Linked DNA regions of Styela clava. The protein of the gene in region 2 interacts with the protein of the main gene of each other region in a pairwise test. Links are inferred from orthologs where the notes say so. Each region holds a gene or a part of one and is shown on either strand. Other genes may lie near its edges.

Region 1 (8,065 bases), on a different chromosome or scaffold from region 2:
CAGAATATTAAAATGGAATCAAAAATGGCATTTCAGTGTGATGGAGTTGCGTTAAATTAACTAAAAAAAAACCTCAATGACGACGGTGGGTATTTTTTTAAACTGTTTTTAATAATATTACTCTGAACACACACTCACTCACTCAGAAGTAAAGAAGACTCATCTCTAAGCAAAGTTACGGGCACTCACTCAGAAGTAAAGATAACTCTGAGTACTCGGTAGTAAAGGAGAGAAAGGTTATGAAAGACCATTCAAGAGTGCATGAGACAATATCTGAGCAAGGTATGGGCGCCACTGAAATATCAGAAGCTATTTGATAGCTTTACGGTGAATACTTTTCAACTAACCTATGGCGTCCATTTCTTTCCATATAAACTGTAGAAAACTCAAACTTTGTTCCTTTCCTTCGAGCGTCAGGATTCACTTCCTTCACCAGACTTGTTAATTCTTTCAATGTTGCATCCATCCTGTGTAAAAAGGGATGAGACTAGTTAATTTTATATATTTAATTTCGCTGACCAAAGTTACGAGCACTCACACAGGAGTATGGGAGTCTCATGTCTGAGCGAAGTTCCGAGCCCTCACTCAGATTATTCCTGGATAAAACTACAGGCCAGTCTGGATTTCATGGCCTTTTTGAACGAGAAATAGAGCGTGCAATCAGAAATTCCCGGATACTGGTACTGTTAAGTACATTTAGATCAAAACTTAAAGCACAATTATTGGAATTATATTAGCTTTCGTGCAGGACATTCTAATCTCCAGGCATTATTTTTCAGATACAAAGGGCTCTTTGATGATTGGTGGGAAAAAGTTGAGAAAAGACTGGCAGATGAAAATATCTCCGTTTGACTATGTCATCATGAATGCAACCAACTTCCATTGCTCAGGAAACAAGTCTCGGGCAACCCACTATTCCATTGTCTCTAGTTCCTGCATATTTTTATGGTTTATTAGCTTTGTACAGTTACTTCATTGGATCCTTGCTAATGAAAAGATCATCTTATACAAATTAAATTTATCATGCTGAGACGTGGTGACAATAAATTCCACACAATAGCGCCTATGAAGTTGACCTGCATTTTATGCCAGACTCTATTGTTCTCATTACTTTTGTCGCATACAATTTAGAATTACCAACTCGAGTGTAAACAACGAATTTCTACATATGTCCTATATTATTTACCTTTTTAGAACCTAACCCTTTTGTGTCGTGGTCCCACCCAACGTTGGTTTTTGGCTAGTTCATGTCTCGAATAAATTTTTACTTGTTTCGTACAATCTACCGTAAAACACACAAAAATGCGATTTCGATTTATACCCTCCATCATCAGAACCTTGGACATGAACGTGCCATAAACTGCCTATTGTACATATCATCGTGGTGCCGTACCTCTTCGTCCTGTGTATTGCACAAGAGTTTTATTTGTAATTTTCATGTTCGTTGTCCTACTATAACGCAGCAGTCCTAAACTGCAGTTATACTTGTTAGCGTGCATGTCGCACATCTGTGTCTTAGGCCGGTAAGGTCTTGAAAATGTATCCAGTCTCTTTTATACCGTTTAACTATTATGCAGATACCGGTACTGTTACATTTTTGAGGCAAATAAACATACATCGGTGTAAAATTATTGAATGAAAAATAAGTTGGGTCAGAGCAAAATTGGACGACCCGAACATTATTTCTATACATTGTCATCAATTTTGGGAGTGTTTTTGCGTAAAATTATTGGATGAGCAATACGCTGAATCAGAGCCGTAACTGACCAGGAGTCAGTCGGCGAGGAGTCTGGCGTTTTTTTCGCCCATAACTATTCTCACAGGATTCCTATCATTCAACACGATGCGCCATACCGCCAAGCAATTGTGGTGATGAATTGTGTGAATGTATTATGTGCAATAACACAAAAGTAAAACAGACTCGGGCCCATGAGTAATATTGACAAACTCACAAGAATGGCGTTATCTTAGACGTATGTGCGATGCAAAACAGGTACCAGTGAAATCATGTATACGAAACACGGTTATCATGCATCGTTGATTGTGAAGGGTTCAGTGTAGTTTCTTACTTCTAGTGGGCGTAGCATAACACAGTAATGTGCGACTGTGCAAAATCGAGCAAGCTATTTCTCTCATTTTCTCGTCGCAATAATCCCGATATGAGAGTCGAGTTCTTTATCGTCGGTGCAGATGCAATTTCAGTTATACGTTGGCAAGCTCTTTGGCTAATTGCGATTTTGAGATGGCGTAGTCAGGTGGGGGTTAGGAATGACATGTGCAAAAATTGTTATACTAAGCCCATTAGGAGTACTCGAGATACGAGACCAGACACTTTACACACGCCTATTTTATACACTCTCTCTCACAACAAAGTGACAGTGAACAATTCAGCAATTGGAGTTTGATAATTCAGTAATTTAAGGACAGATATCATCTGACAATAAAATCAAAAACTTAGATGGAAAAAACGCATTATTATATTTCTGATTAAGCTTCAACTGAACACTAAACATGGAGAATTTGTTCGGAATATGATTAAATCATCCCAATTTAGTTTGCTTTATGTATTTCAGAAAACTAATGTCATTGATTAGAAGTCCACGATTTAAAAATCAACAAGATTGTACAAACACAACACTTACCATGTGTAAATCTGTAATTCATTATTTGGCACATTCCCTCGCGCATAATCACTCAGAGGATGGTGTCTTCCATTGCAAGTAAAAACCCTCAGCAAGAGTGGACAGGTTTTCTCTCTATCAATAGCTGGCTTTGGCGCCGGCTTTTCTTCCGCTGGCGCGTCCTGTGCTACACTCCTGAGTCGGTCTTCCAGTGAACCAGCTTGAGGCATAGCTATGTTTTATGTATTACTAAATTATTATCAAAATAACAGACGAAAGCAGAGATAAAACCTAGCAACTCTATCGTCACGTAACACACAGAAGAGCACGCGCACTAGAGGTACCGCGAATGAGCAAATCCGTTGGCTGTCAATCAAAATCGTATTTCCGCGTTTTAGGACGGCCCAGGCCAAGCAACCAACTTGCCTAATGTTAAACAGCTCCATGGACGCCATCTTGTGCCATATTTGAAAAACGCGATACAATGGAGTCTTATGGGGAATTTTCTTCGTGTTGTTGTACCGAATCAAATAACTCAGCTGTTAGTGGAGCAAGACTGAAACCGAAGGGTGGATTTTTACCGCCAAGCTATGAACTATGTAATAAAATATGAAGTACAACATGTCGGCAGTCCGTGTGGTCCTAAAGTTTAGTTTAGTTAGGATTCCTTCAGTTGTACATCGTCATCGTGATGATTATCGCTATCTCGTCGTCGTCATCATTACTGTGTTGTTTTCTCGTATTCGACGTGTCGCATTTTTCTCTTTCACGTGTTATCGTGTTACGTATTTATTTTATTATCGTCCCCTAAGCTCAGCAAGATGTTTAAGATTGCATTTCTGGTGGTAGCAGTTTAGGATTTCATTTCTTGTTATGGCAGTTTAAGATTACATCGCCTTTATAACGTTGAAGTTTGAATTCATTCAATAGTCTTCTTTTATACTGTATTTCGAATCGTTCGATATAACATTATGATATTTGCATGTCTACAGCTCGTATGGTATTGCATTTATAGTTACTGTTTTACCTTGGTTGTATATCTGTCGTTTTGGGACTATGCTGTTATATGGAGTTGTTTTGTGTAAGTATTAGTTTTATATTCTGTATCATTTGTCTTTGATTTATTTGGTGCTAATTATTTCATTTGTATTTTAGTCAACCGTTTTGAATACTTTCAATAAAACGAGTCTGGCAAATCGACTTATCATTTGAGGGTCCCAAAAGTGACAAAGTTGAACAAATCTCCTTGCGACGACGATGAACGAAGCAGATGAATCAATTACACAAGATTTGAATAGACGAGAAGCTTCTTCTTCGCCTGCAGTTCCTCTCGCGGAAACAGACGACGGTAACTCTGAAACTATTGGACGCAATGTATTATGCCACGAAAGAGTCCGACTACAAAATGAACTAAATGGTTTGTGCGACAGAATTTCAAAATCGATTACTGAAAATGCTCAAAATTCTATCGCTACTGATCTTAAAATTAAACTTCATATTAAACGAATTGCTTATGACCAAGTGATGGATAAACTCATTCCGACTACCCGTAATCCAAATGTTTTGAAGAAATATGAAACTGGAAGGCAAATGATGTTATCGAAAATCGATCAAATTGAAAGCAGAATTAATTCTTACCTTGACGAGGAGATCGTTTCTGATCACGGGTCTGTCGAATCCAATACAAGCAAATGCAGTGTTGAATCACTGAAGCGATTGCAACTTGAGCAAGAACGAGAGGTAGAAAGAGCCGATTCTCTTGTACGTATGGCTAAACGAGACTTTCTCACAGAAGAAGATACCATTCGCAATAAAATATCAGCACTAGAGCGTCGCCTTGATATAAACGAAAAAGAACGAATGGCAGATCTAACACGTCGCCAAGCTGACGAACTTATGCGTGAAATTGAACAAGAAAAGACTGAATTGGCTACCAAAAAGATGCCTAAAGATAACTTCCGTGGCGTCAATATTGAATATCCGTTAGAGTCAACACGCAGACGAAGTGCAGTGAACTTTTTTGTTCCGACGAAGAGTCAAGTGGCAACAAATTCAGAAAAGACCAAAGAATTGCACTTCCCGACAGCACGAACTTACAAACGCCCGTCTCCTGCAAACAGAATGCTCATACCACAAGAAGCAGTCGACGCGTGGATTGACCACTTGGAACCTAACCAGTCTGGTAAATTTTCTGTTAATTCTTTTAATATGTCAGTAGAGGAACAAACTATGTTATCATTACAGTTGAATTCTAGAATATTGTCCCAGCACCATTTATCGCCGATTACGATTCCTAGTTTTAGCGGAACGCCCCTAGAATGGCCAAACTTTATTGAGTTATTTTTTGATAATGTACACAGTTCTCTTGACGACGACGGTTCGCGTATGGTTCGCTTAGTCGCGTCTTTGACGGGGGTGGCTAAACGACATGTCGATGGCTTAGGCACGGTGGGAAGTAATTATATTGTCGCGTTGAGTGAATTGAAACATATATTCGGCCAACGGGTGACGATTGCTCGGGCCTTTCTCGAGAAGGTTGTAGATGGTAGACGAGTAACAGAATTCAGTATCCGAAAAATATCCGATTTTCATTCTGAAGTTCGCGACATTGTGATAAATTTGAAGAAAATGCGATTGCTTGCAGATTTGTATAGTATTGAAAATGTTAGAAAGACAGCAATGCGAATTCCGGCAGAACTGACCTCGAGTTGGAATAAGTTTGTGACTGATATGATTCGTGCCGACGAAATGCCGAGTTTACTGGACTTCGAGCAGTGGTTGTGGGAACGATGCGAGGAATTAGGAAATCCTTTTTCACCAAATCTTTTCAGTACTAAAATAGATCGTGACGATCGCAGACAGGCATTTCCTAAGAAGAATGTGGTATACCCTTTATCGGGTCATTCAAATCAGCCGCTCGAACAACCGCGAATGCAATGTTTCTATTGCAATGGTTTTCATTCTTTAAGTAACTGCGATAGCTTCAGGTTTAGTGCCAATGACACGAAAAGAAGATTTCTACTAAATTCACGCCTGTGCTTTAACTGTCTCGAACCTGGACATTTAGCTATTTCGTGCCGGTTCCGCAATATGTGTCGTGTTTGTCCCGGTAAGCATCATTCAGCCATCCATGGTTTGAGAGTCGTTCCTAATAGATTGAGTGATAACAATCAGCCTGATCTCCCTCCTCAAATGAGCGGCGTTGCCAATTCTCATGTTTCAGGCGTTAATGGTGTTCAGTTTCAGCTTTTGCCAGTCGTAGTAAAAGGCCCATTGGGATCCTCTGAATATGCTATCGCTGTTCTAGATTCTGCCAGTCAAATCTCAATAATACATCCCAAATTAAAACAAAAACTTGGTTTGAAAGGAAGTCCTAGGTGTCTAACCATTAACACCTTATGCAATAAGGGCGTTTCGCAAAATACGGAGGTGGTGAAATTGTCGGTGCGATCTGCTCACGACGAGAGTGGTCAAATTCTGATGTTAAGCAACGTGTTTGTGGTCGAGTCACGCATACCACATCCAGCTAGAATCCTTAAGAACGATCACAATATGACTCACCTGCAGGATATTCCGTTAACCGACATTGAAGCGAACAAAGCCATGATTTTAATCGGAGCCGATAATCCCTTGGCGCATTTCCAGCTTGAACGTAGAGTCGGCCAGCAACATGAACCAGTGGGTATTAAAACTCCTCTCGGTTGGACTTTGATCGGGTCTTCAGGCGCGACTAATGAAGATGAAACTGTTTCAAATATGCTGTGTTGTGATTTGCGTGACCAGTATAACATGCTGCAAGAACAAGTTGAGCGATTTTGGTCCACTGAAGCTGTAGGCACGGCGTACAATTTGACCCGTAGCGAGTCGATTGAAGATAGACAAACTGATAATTTGATGGAAAGAAAAATTAGATTTATCGACGGTCATTACGAGGTTGGGTTTATGTGGAGAAATGAAAATTGCAAAATGCCGCAAAACGAACACGTAGCGCTTAACAGGTTCGAAAATCTCAGAAAACGACTCCAAGGAAACGAACGTTTGCGAAACTTATATTGTAAAGAAATGGCAAAGAATATTGAAAGGGGTTGGGTGCGTAAGCTAACTTCAGATGAAAAGGCGTTTCGCGGTCCTCGAACTTGGTTTCTGCCTCATCATGGCGTTGAAAATCCCAACAAGCCAAATAAACTAAGAATTGTTTTTGACGCGGCATCTACTTGCTGCGGCGTCAGTCTGAACAGTCGATTGATGTCCGGGCGCGATTTGATCAATAATCTAGTCGGGGTGCTTTTACGTTTTCGGGAAAGACCAATCGCTATAAGCGCCGATATAGAAGCCATGTTTCATATGATTCGATTGCCGGAAGATGATACGGATTCTGCACGTTTTCTCTGGTCGGAAGACCTTTTTTCAACCAAACGGCCAGATGTGTATAAATTCTTAGTTCGTATTTTTGGAGCTGTGGATTCACCTTATGTCGCAAACTTTTGTTTGAAGAGAGCTGCGTACGATAGTAGAAACAAGTTTCCTAGAGACGTAATATTAACTACCGATAGAGACTTTTATGTCGATGATTTACTTACTTCGAAATGGAATGTTGATTCCGCGGTATCGACAGCTAAAGATATGATTAAGATGTTACACGATAAAGGATTCAACTTGACCAAGTGGGTTTCGAATTCTAAATCGGTTTTACGTGAAATATCCAGTGGACGTGTCGTCACTAATGTTGACTTAGATCTGGACAGATTACCTGTTAGAAAAGCTCTGGGCTTGCATTGGGACATCGAGAAGGATTGCTTTATATTCGACCACCAGAAATTTACTGAATTTACCACGAAAAGAAAGGCCCTTAGTGTAACCAGTTCAATATTCGATCCATTAGGATTTGTAGCACCAATCATTTTGTATGCCAAATTATTACTGCGGGAATGTTGGCGTGACAACTTAGCTTGGGACGAAGTATTTGATAATAAGAGATTGAAGTGTTGGGAAAATTGGATAAATTCGCTGAAATGTTTAAAGAGTTTTTCGATTCCACGTCAATTTAAAGGTGTTAAATGTGAAAGTTCCTCGTATGAAATTCATATATTCTGTGATGCATCAGAAGTGGCATATGGCGCGGTAGCATACATAATATCGAAGCATTCCCGGGAGAATTTTCAGTGTAGTCTTATCGCGGCTAAAGCAAGAGTCGCACCTATGAAAGGTATGACCGTGCCTCGTTTAGAATTGCAAGGTGCTCTCTTGGCCGTGCGATTGTTAAATTTTCTCCGAAAAGAACTATCCCTTCCACTAGGCGACGTACATATGTGGTCCGACTCGACTTGTGTATTGAGATATTTGAAAAATAAAACTCGAAGATTTAAAACATTTGTAGCCAATCGCGTTCGCGAAATACTCGATCACACTCGGCCACACCAATGGAAGTACGTCGACTCCGCACA
Region 2 (7,091 bases):
AAAAATGCAGTAGCTAAATAAAGAAATTATGAATAAGTTTCAGCAGCAAATGATGCAAAAGAGACAGCAGAGTCCAGTGGTGCAGCCAGGGGGTTTTCGGGGCCTGAGTTGCCATGGAACACATTATAATAAGTTGGAACTATACCATAGTCACTGAAGATAAAACAGTCAATTATGCATGCCATCAGTTAATAAATTATCGTCAGGGCCACACTCAATTTTTTTTGGATTATGCTGATACTGATGTTCAATCAATTTTTTATTGTACTAACATAAACTGTACTGCAATTTTATCACAGATTTTGTGATTTTATTATCAGCAATAACAAATTTGCGTGGTCGCAAAAATATGAATCCAAAGTAAAATCTAATTGTAGAATTCATATCACATTTTTATATCCACTGATTGCCATGGTATTTTAGAGTTCAAATACAATGTTATTTCTATGTGAAACGATGCAACCGCAAGATACGTTAACCACAATTTTAATGAGTAGCATAATCGCATCAATTGTTTCCTCATGCGTTACATGGGTATTTCTGACTCCGACCCCGCCCCACCCCCCCCCCCCCCACTCTACGCTGCAAAATCCTGACTGTGCCCCTGGGGATGTCTACTGCATCCTCAATTTATAAAACGAAAAGCCAACGCAATAATGCATTGGCAAAATAGGGACCACGTCAAACAAAATAAATATGTGTAAAGAAAACATTCCATACTAGTGCTTTCAATTGCCTGATTCAATAAGTGAATCGCAGTGTGAGCAATCAGAATAGTCTACAAAACTCCTAACTGTTATACTTATTTACAGTAGTAGCCTATTATAATGATTCTCAAATAGTTTTAGGAAACTTCCATCTCTCTTTCTATTCCAACATATTTTACTGCATCAGATTGACTGTAGCTGTAGTCGAAGAACAATTCCTCTCCTGCTTGTATCGGGCAATTTGAGAAAATTCCAATACGATGATCACCATTTACCATCATCACTTTAGCATAGCAATTAGGATGAACGGAATGATTGGCAAATCTAATTTTGTTTCCTTTACGAGTGGCATCCACAACAAAATCATTATTGAGATTAAACAGAAAGCTACACATGTATTTATCGTAAACTTTTCCACGACGATCTGCCTCATCCTGAGATATAATTTCTCCGCAATATTCAGAAATGAATTCATTTTTGTTGGGCACATCTTCTTTTATATAAATTCCCCATCCGGCAACATCAGATGGAGCCAAAAGTAGATGCTTATGGAGACCTCTTTGTATTGAAACATTCTTACAAGAACATTTACTTGCATTTGTGCCGAGCTGGTCAGCACCACAAAGAGAGCAGAGGTCTGGATCACACTCTCTCACTGCAAGATAACATGGGCATTGCTTGGTGTTACATTGAGCTTTACAACGACATCCTGGAAAGCGATTATGACAATCAGACGGACATTGGCAATACTTTTCGCAAAAATTTCCAACCATAATGCATTGACAATTGCTGTCGCAAGGCTGTCCTGGATGATTACAAGGCTGGTAATTGTAAACATGATTGCTGGACGAATCTCGTTTCAGTTGTATTCTTCTAGCATGGAGAGACCAAAGTCTGTGCTTCCTTTTTTTCTTTCTGGGAGAAGCTGAATCTCTCAAATCATGTTCATGTGGATGAGGTTGTGAACCGCTGTCATGTTGCGAGCGTGTAGCTTCAAGTAATGCAAAGGCATAAACTTCTTGGCAAGATTTAGTTTTAATAAGTTTCGAAATCGAACAAAAATTGTTTGGGTAATTTGTTCTTAATACCCGATACAGAGTTGACTCTGCTCCATCCCATATAGTTTTAGTCAAATTTTCAGGAACGAGTTCAAGAAATGATGTCATTGATTGTGTTGTAGGTAGTTTTTCAGTATCTGTCGCATCTGTATCCATCTCACTCTCACTTGGGGCAGGGGTACTAGGTCGACTTCCACTGCTGCTCCCACTTCTTCCTTCGCCTTTAAGCTGAGATTTCTTCTTTGACAATCCTCTCTGCAAATGTCTGTGAGGTTTCTCTGATATTTCACGATAATCTTGTGCACCTTCAAGGTGTTGGAAACAATCAGCACCACAAGGTTCTGTAGGTGTTCTAACATCTTGAGTTTTTCGTTTACTCGTTTTAATAGGTGGTCTATAAAGATGACTGTGTTGAAAACAATCATATTTGTAACAGCGTCTGCAAAATAATTCATGAAAAGAATGCAATGCTTGCTCCCTTTGTACTGATTTAGCATTTGCACCATCGATATTGGGAGTGCATTCAGGAGGTTGTGCATCGGGATCCATCAATTCAGTCAGCTCCTTATATTTATCTTTTAAATCTTCACCTGAACCTTTATCAGGAAAATAATCAGCAATAGCATCAAATATTTCATCTGCAGGAAATGTGTTTGTACCAGAAGCAGATGACGAGTCTGAATTTTTATTTTGCTCCGCATCTGCAGTTTCCTTCTCTTTCGCTGGATCTGCATCTTCATTGCTTGATTCGCTTGTAGTGTTGTCTTGTGATGCTTCATTTGCAGCACTATCAGTTCTGTAACGACTTCTCAAAGGACGACGTTTACGACTGATATTATATTTATTCAGTGCATCAACAAGATCAACAAATAATTCATCACTTAGAAAACCACCTTCTCTGTCCCCATGCACTTTACCATCATAATTCATAATCAACTCTTCTAAAAAACTTCCATCTTTATCCAAAGCTTCGTCCCCCATATATGGAATGTTATGTAGAATTGTTTCATCTTCAACCATGAAATCCTGTTGAACTGGGACCCATGTATAATAAACAGGAAGACTTGGCACAGCTTGCAGTGTACATAAAGGAACAGACTGATCACGGAAAGCATGAACACTACTTTTCACTGTACAGCATCGAAGGAATGGTCTATTTGTAAAAACCGGTTCTGAATCTGGTTGTTGTACTTTGTACTTTTCATTTGTTTGTTCCAATTTTGAAATTCTTTCGTTCAATTTTACTCTGTTATTTATGAAAGCTTGTTTAATTTTGTCACTACGTTGATATCTCTTCGCCGATCTAAGCGTGATGTATTCACTTCGTACAATTTTTTTCCAATCCATTTTGTTCTTAACTAATTAACTAAGCAGTGACACAAGCTGAAAATAACAAAGAAGCATAGTTCAATAAACTTTAAAAAATAAGCTAATATAGCCGCATACCTGTCAAGTGAGACAAAATAACAAAATAAACGGAAAATTACTACTAATATAATCTTGGTGAAAAACAATTTGTGTCACAATGCAGTACTATTTAAATTTTCCAATTTGATTTTTTTTTGCTGAAAAATATATGCTTTTCAATTCACCAAATTCTTATTACAAATACATAGAACAATCCATAAATTCCATCTTAATAACATTGACAGATTATTGAAAACCATACCCATATAAAAACTGTTTCAATAATAATATTCTAAATGAAACATAATTTAAAATTAGTGGGGACTCATTCACTACTGTAAAGTTTGACCCCAATTGGGAGAAACAAAATGATGATTCTATGTCAATGCATAATACTATAGCCTAGTACACAGGTTTCACAATCAATTCTAATTTTCAAGATTATTTCGATATGATGTGAAACAAAAGACAATTGAAGTTTTAGAGATATAAGTTTGATGAATATAACTATAATGAGAGGAAAATCATCTTTCTTCCATTCTGACTTTCGGAGGTTTGAAAGGTGCCCTCGTGTCTTTTTTCTTCTTCTTTTTATCCTTCTTAAAATTTTGCCAACTGGAAACTCTACCTTGACGACTTTCCTCAAAGTTTTTATCCCATTCTTTCTGCTGCTTCGCTTTTTCTTTTTCCTCAGCTTCTTGTTGCGCTTTCCTTTTTCTTTCATTCATTTCTCGAGTTTCCATCTCTTTACGAACAATCGCCATGTCAGCAAAAAGTTTACAAGTTTCTTTGTGTAGTTCTGATTCATAAACATGCGGATCATCTTCTGGTATTTCAGCAGGTTTTCCTTCCTTTTTCAATTTCTTCCTTTTTTCTTTCAATTTCGTTTCAAGTCGTACTTTTGCATCTGAAACTACACCTAAACATTTTTCTCTTTCTTTATCATCATTTAGTAATTCCCATGCTTTTTTGACAGCATCAAATGACTTTTGTGCGAGCTCTTTTTGTTCTAAATTTTTATCTGGATGAACAAGTATAGATAAGCGTCTGAATTTCTTCTTAACATCTGGTAGAGGAGTTTCTGGCGTAACTTGTAGAACATCATATGGATTAAGATTAAAATAAGTTGATCCAGGTCGATTTAAACGATCAATCTGTTGTTTTGGTGTTAGTACTGAATCCGCGGCTTCAATTCTTTTCACTTCGGACATATATGTATTGAATGCATCTTCAGCCTTTGGATCAGAACTGGTTGAAGCCATGATTAAGATTGAAATTCACCTATTTACAACATTAGCTGAAAATGTAATTGAATCATTAGGTTTTAACTTGCTGACTTAACCAATCACAGAATCAAATAAATCTCAAACAAAAAGCATGGTCCAGATGAAGTTAGGAATTACACCAAAATATAGTTGATAGTACTGTCACACTGCAGTACATGCATCATGTTGAATTCTTTTAGAGAAATATAGCATATACAGATATAGGTGAGGCGACTTCGACACAAAATTCCCCACATAATTATGTCTGTATGTGTAGAATATTTAAAATTGAAATAAATTACTTGATAGATGGCTGTATTACAGAAATAGGTACCGGTACCGGTACCAAACTATTTGGATATTGACACAAGCCAATTCTGCAGTTCCAGTAGAGCACAGTTCTCATATTCCATGATGTCCCGATATTTGGTACAATAAAACAATCTATTTGTGAAACGAGCCAGTTAACGAGGGGGTGACACAACGGCAGATCGATTGTCTCCATGATTGTCTCAAAAATAATTTAAATCAATCCAACATGCGTCGGCCGCCACATGACCAAAATTGCCTTTTAGGGGTTAGGGGGGAGGCTACTGGTATGTCGACTAGATCCTAACCTAAATTATCAATTTTCATAGGCCTGTTGGGCCTGGTCATCTCAAAGGTTACCGTACCGGTATTAATATTTAACATAGGCCTACAAGTCTGCTTGTCTGCTCTATTGTCTTGTTCAAAAGTAGAGACAGATTGTCTCGAAACATTTCCACATTACATGACCTCTTACTGTCTTAATTAACAAATTTTCAACATGCAGTCAGTCAGAAAGTGTTGCAAAACCATAAAACAGTAAAACGTGAGAACTGAGATGGGATCAAAAAATTCTTAGTCGCCAATTTATATTAATAAAAAATAATACTCATGAGTTTGAATCTCTGACGTTTGAGAAACGAGGAAATGCACCGTCGCAGTCGTGGGTTCCCTGTGAGTTGCATATAGCCCTACCGGAACGCTTTGCCCTGCACTGGCATCAGAGCATGCTTCCTAAAGGATTCGTGAATCCTATTCCTGCACGCTGAAGTAACAGCATAAGCGGCGCGGCAAGCACTATACCGCCACTCCGCGGCAGACCGGGTTTGGAAATTTTCCCAAGTGCCGTTCACAAGAGACCGAGAGAGAGATTTTATTGGACACGTAGTGGACATAACGATCGTTTCAATATTATGTTGTTGTTGTTCTTGTTCTTGTTATCCTTGTTGTTGTTCTTTGACACGTTTTTAAAAAGTCGCTTTTCTCTTCGAATACTGGACCAATTGCTTTGAAATTTTCAGTGGTTGAAGATAAAATTTTTCTCCAGAAGGCTATTACTTTTTTTTTCGCTATGACGTCATCAAAATTATTGCCATTGGGTGGCGCTACGTGTCCATATATTTGAGCATAGCTCTCTTGTTTTATAAGTAATGTCAACACTATAAAACAGTGATTCTCAACCTTTCATAGCTCGTGGCCCCCTTCCGGCGCATTTTGGCACTTGTGGGACCCCTGTTCGCCATTTCAAAAAACCAAACGTGTTAGATTGTATTATGTTTTTTACGATCTTTTATTGAATGCAAAAGCAAACCACAGACAAGAAAGTGAAAGCATTTTAGTATACAATCAATGGGAATCTTGCGCTTGGAACTGTCTGACGAGGCTTCTAATGCTAGACATCGTCTTTAATATAGCCGGACGAATGTCACTGTTACCATTAACGGCAGTTTTTAGATTTTGTTTTGATGGTAACAAGATCAGAAAAACCAGATTCGCACTAATAAGTGAGTTGCGGCAAATTGAACTAGCAATGAAGGAGCTTTCTTGCTAAGTAGTGGGTAAGAATCTGATATGCTACTTCATAGCGGGCTTTTCCGCTGATAAAACCGGACTTGGCCAATATCTTACCGATCCAACTCGCTTGACAGCCAAGAAACCGATATCAACGTCTTTCACCTGGGGATGATTTTTGTCACGATGGTTTTGGAGTTTAGATGGAGGTAATGATTTATTGGTAATTACATGCAAGCATTGAGCACATTCTCTGTCATCTCGATTTTCTTTAGTAAAGTAAAAGCCAACGTGACTGTCGTTGCATTTTCATATTTTGGGCATTTGGAATTTACAAATGGGTTTTTGAGTCTATAATACGATAGCGAATGTTATCTCGCAGTCAAGTGAAACTGCCCGTCTACAGGTTGACGGCCTACCGGCGAACTATTTTGATTGGTAGATTCTAAGTTCCATTATGATCAAACAATTAACGCGCAAGAAAGAGAATACACCCTGCGATCACAAAGAACGGAGTATTTTATTTTAAAAGGAAAGTATGCAAACAAAGTCGCTTCGTGAATTCTTAGCCTTGTGTCGTGGTCCTCCTTGACCTGCTTCGTGGCCCCCTTGGGGTGCCACCGGCCCCCGTTTGAGCTGCTATAAAACATTTAAAGCAACAGAAACAAAAATATAATAATTCAATAATAATTGGTTATCATTATTCGTGAGGGTCATTATAAAATACCGGTTAGGTCACCGTGGCTCCTGGCCCATGCTGTATGCCACGATGGGGAGTATTGCACTTAATGAGGCACAGTAATTAATACAAACATGTTCTGCAACCTGGTATTCTT

The links.
Region 1: the proteins of histone-lysine N-methyltransferase EZH2-like (region 2) and histone deacetylase complex subunit SAP18-like interact in binary tests that used the Drosophila melanogaster proteins (3 or more experiments, as listed by UniProt). The link is inferred for Styela clava from reciprocal best matches to the Drosophila melanogaster genes E(z) and Bin1.

What each region holds. Positions count from the first base shown.
Region 1 is NC_135259.1:21,874,628-21,882,692, forward strand, and holds the start of histone deacetylase complex subunit SAP18-like, read right to left. Parts: upstream 3,002-8,065; 5' UTR 2,852-3,001; coding exon 2,643-2,851; intron 468-2,642; coding exon 348-467; intron 1-347. Other genes in the region: uncharacterized protein LOC120332010, read left to right, coding at 3,879-8,065. UniProt on the Drosophila melanogaster protein: Involved in the tethering of the SIN3 complex to core histone proteins. Interacts with bicoid (bcd) to repress transcription of bicoid target genes in the anterior tip of the embryo; a process known as retraction.
Region 2 is NC_135251.1:26,461,664-26,468,754, reverse strand, and holds the start of histone-lysine N-methyltransferase EZH2-like, read right to left. Parts: upstream 3,113-7,091; coding exon 845-3,112; 3' UTR 1-844. Other genes in the region: dnaJ homolog subfamily C member 8-like, read right to left, coding at 3,697-4,434. UniProt on the Drosophila melanogaster protein: Polycomb group (PcG) protein. Catalytic subunit of the Esc/E(z) complex, which methylates 'Lys-9' and 'Lys-27' of histone H3, leading to transcriptional repression of the affected target gene.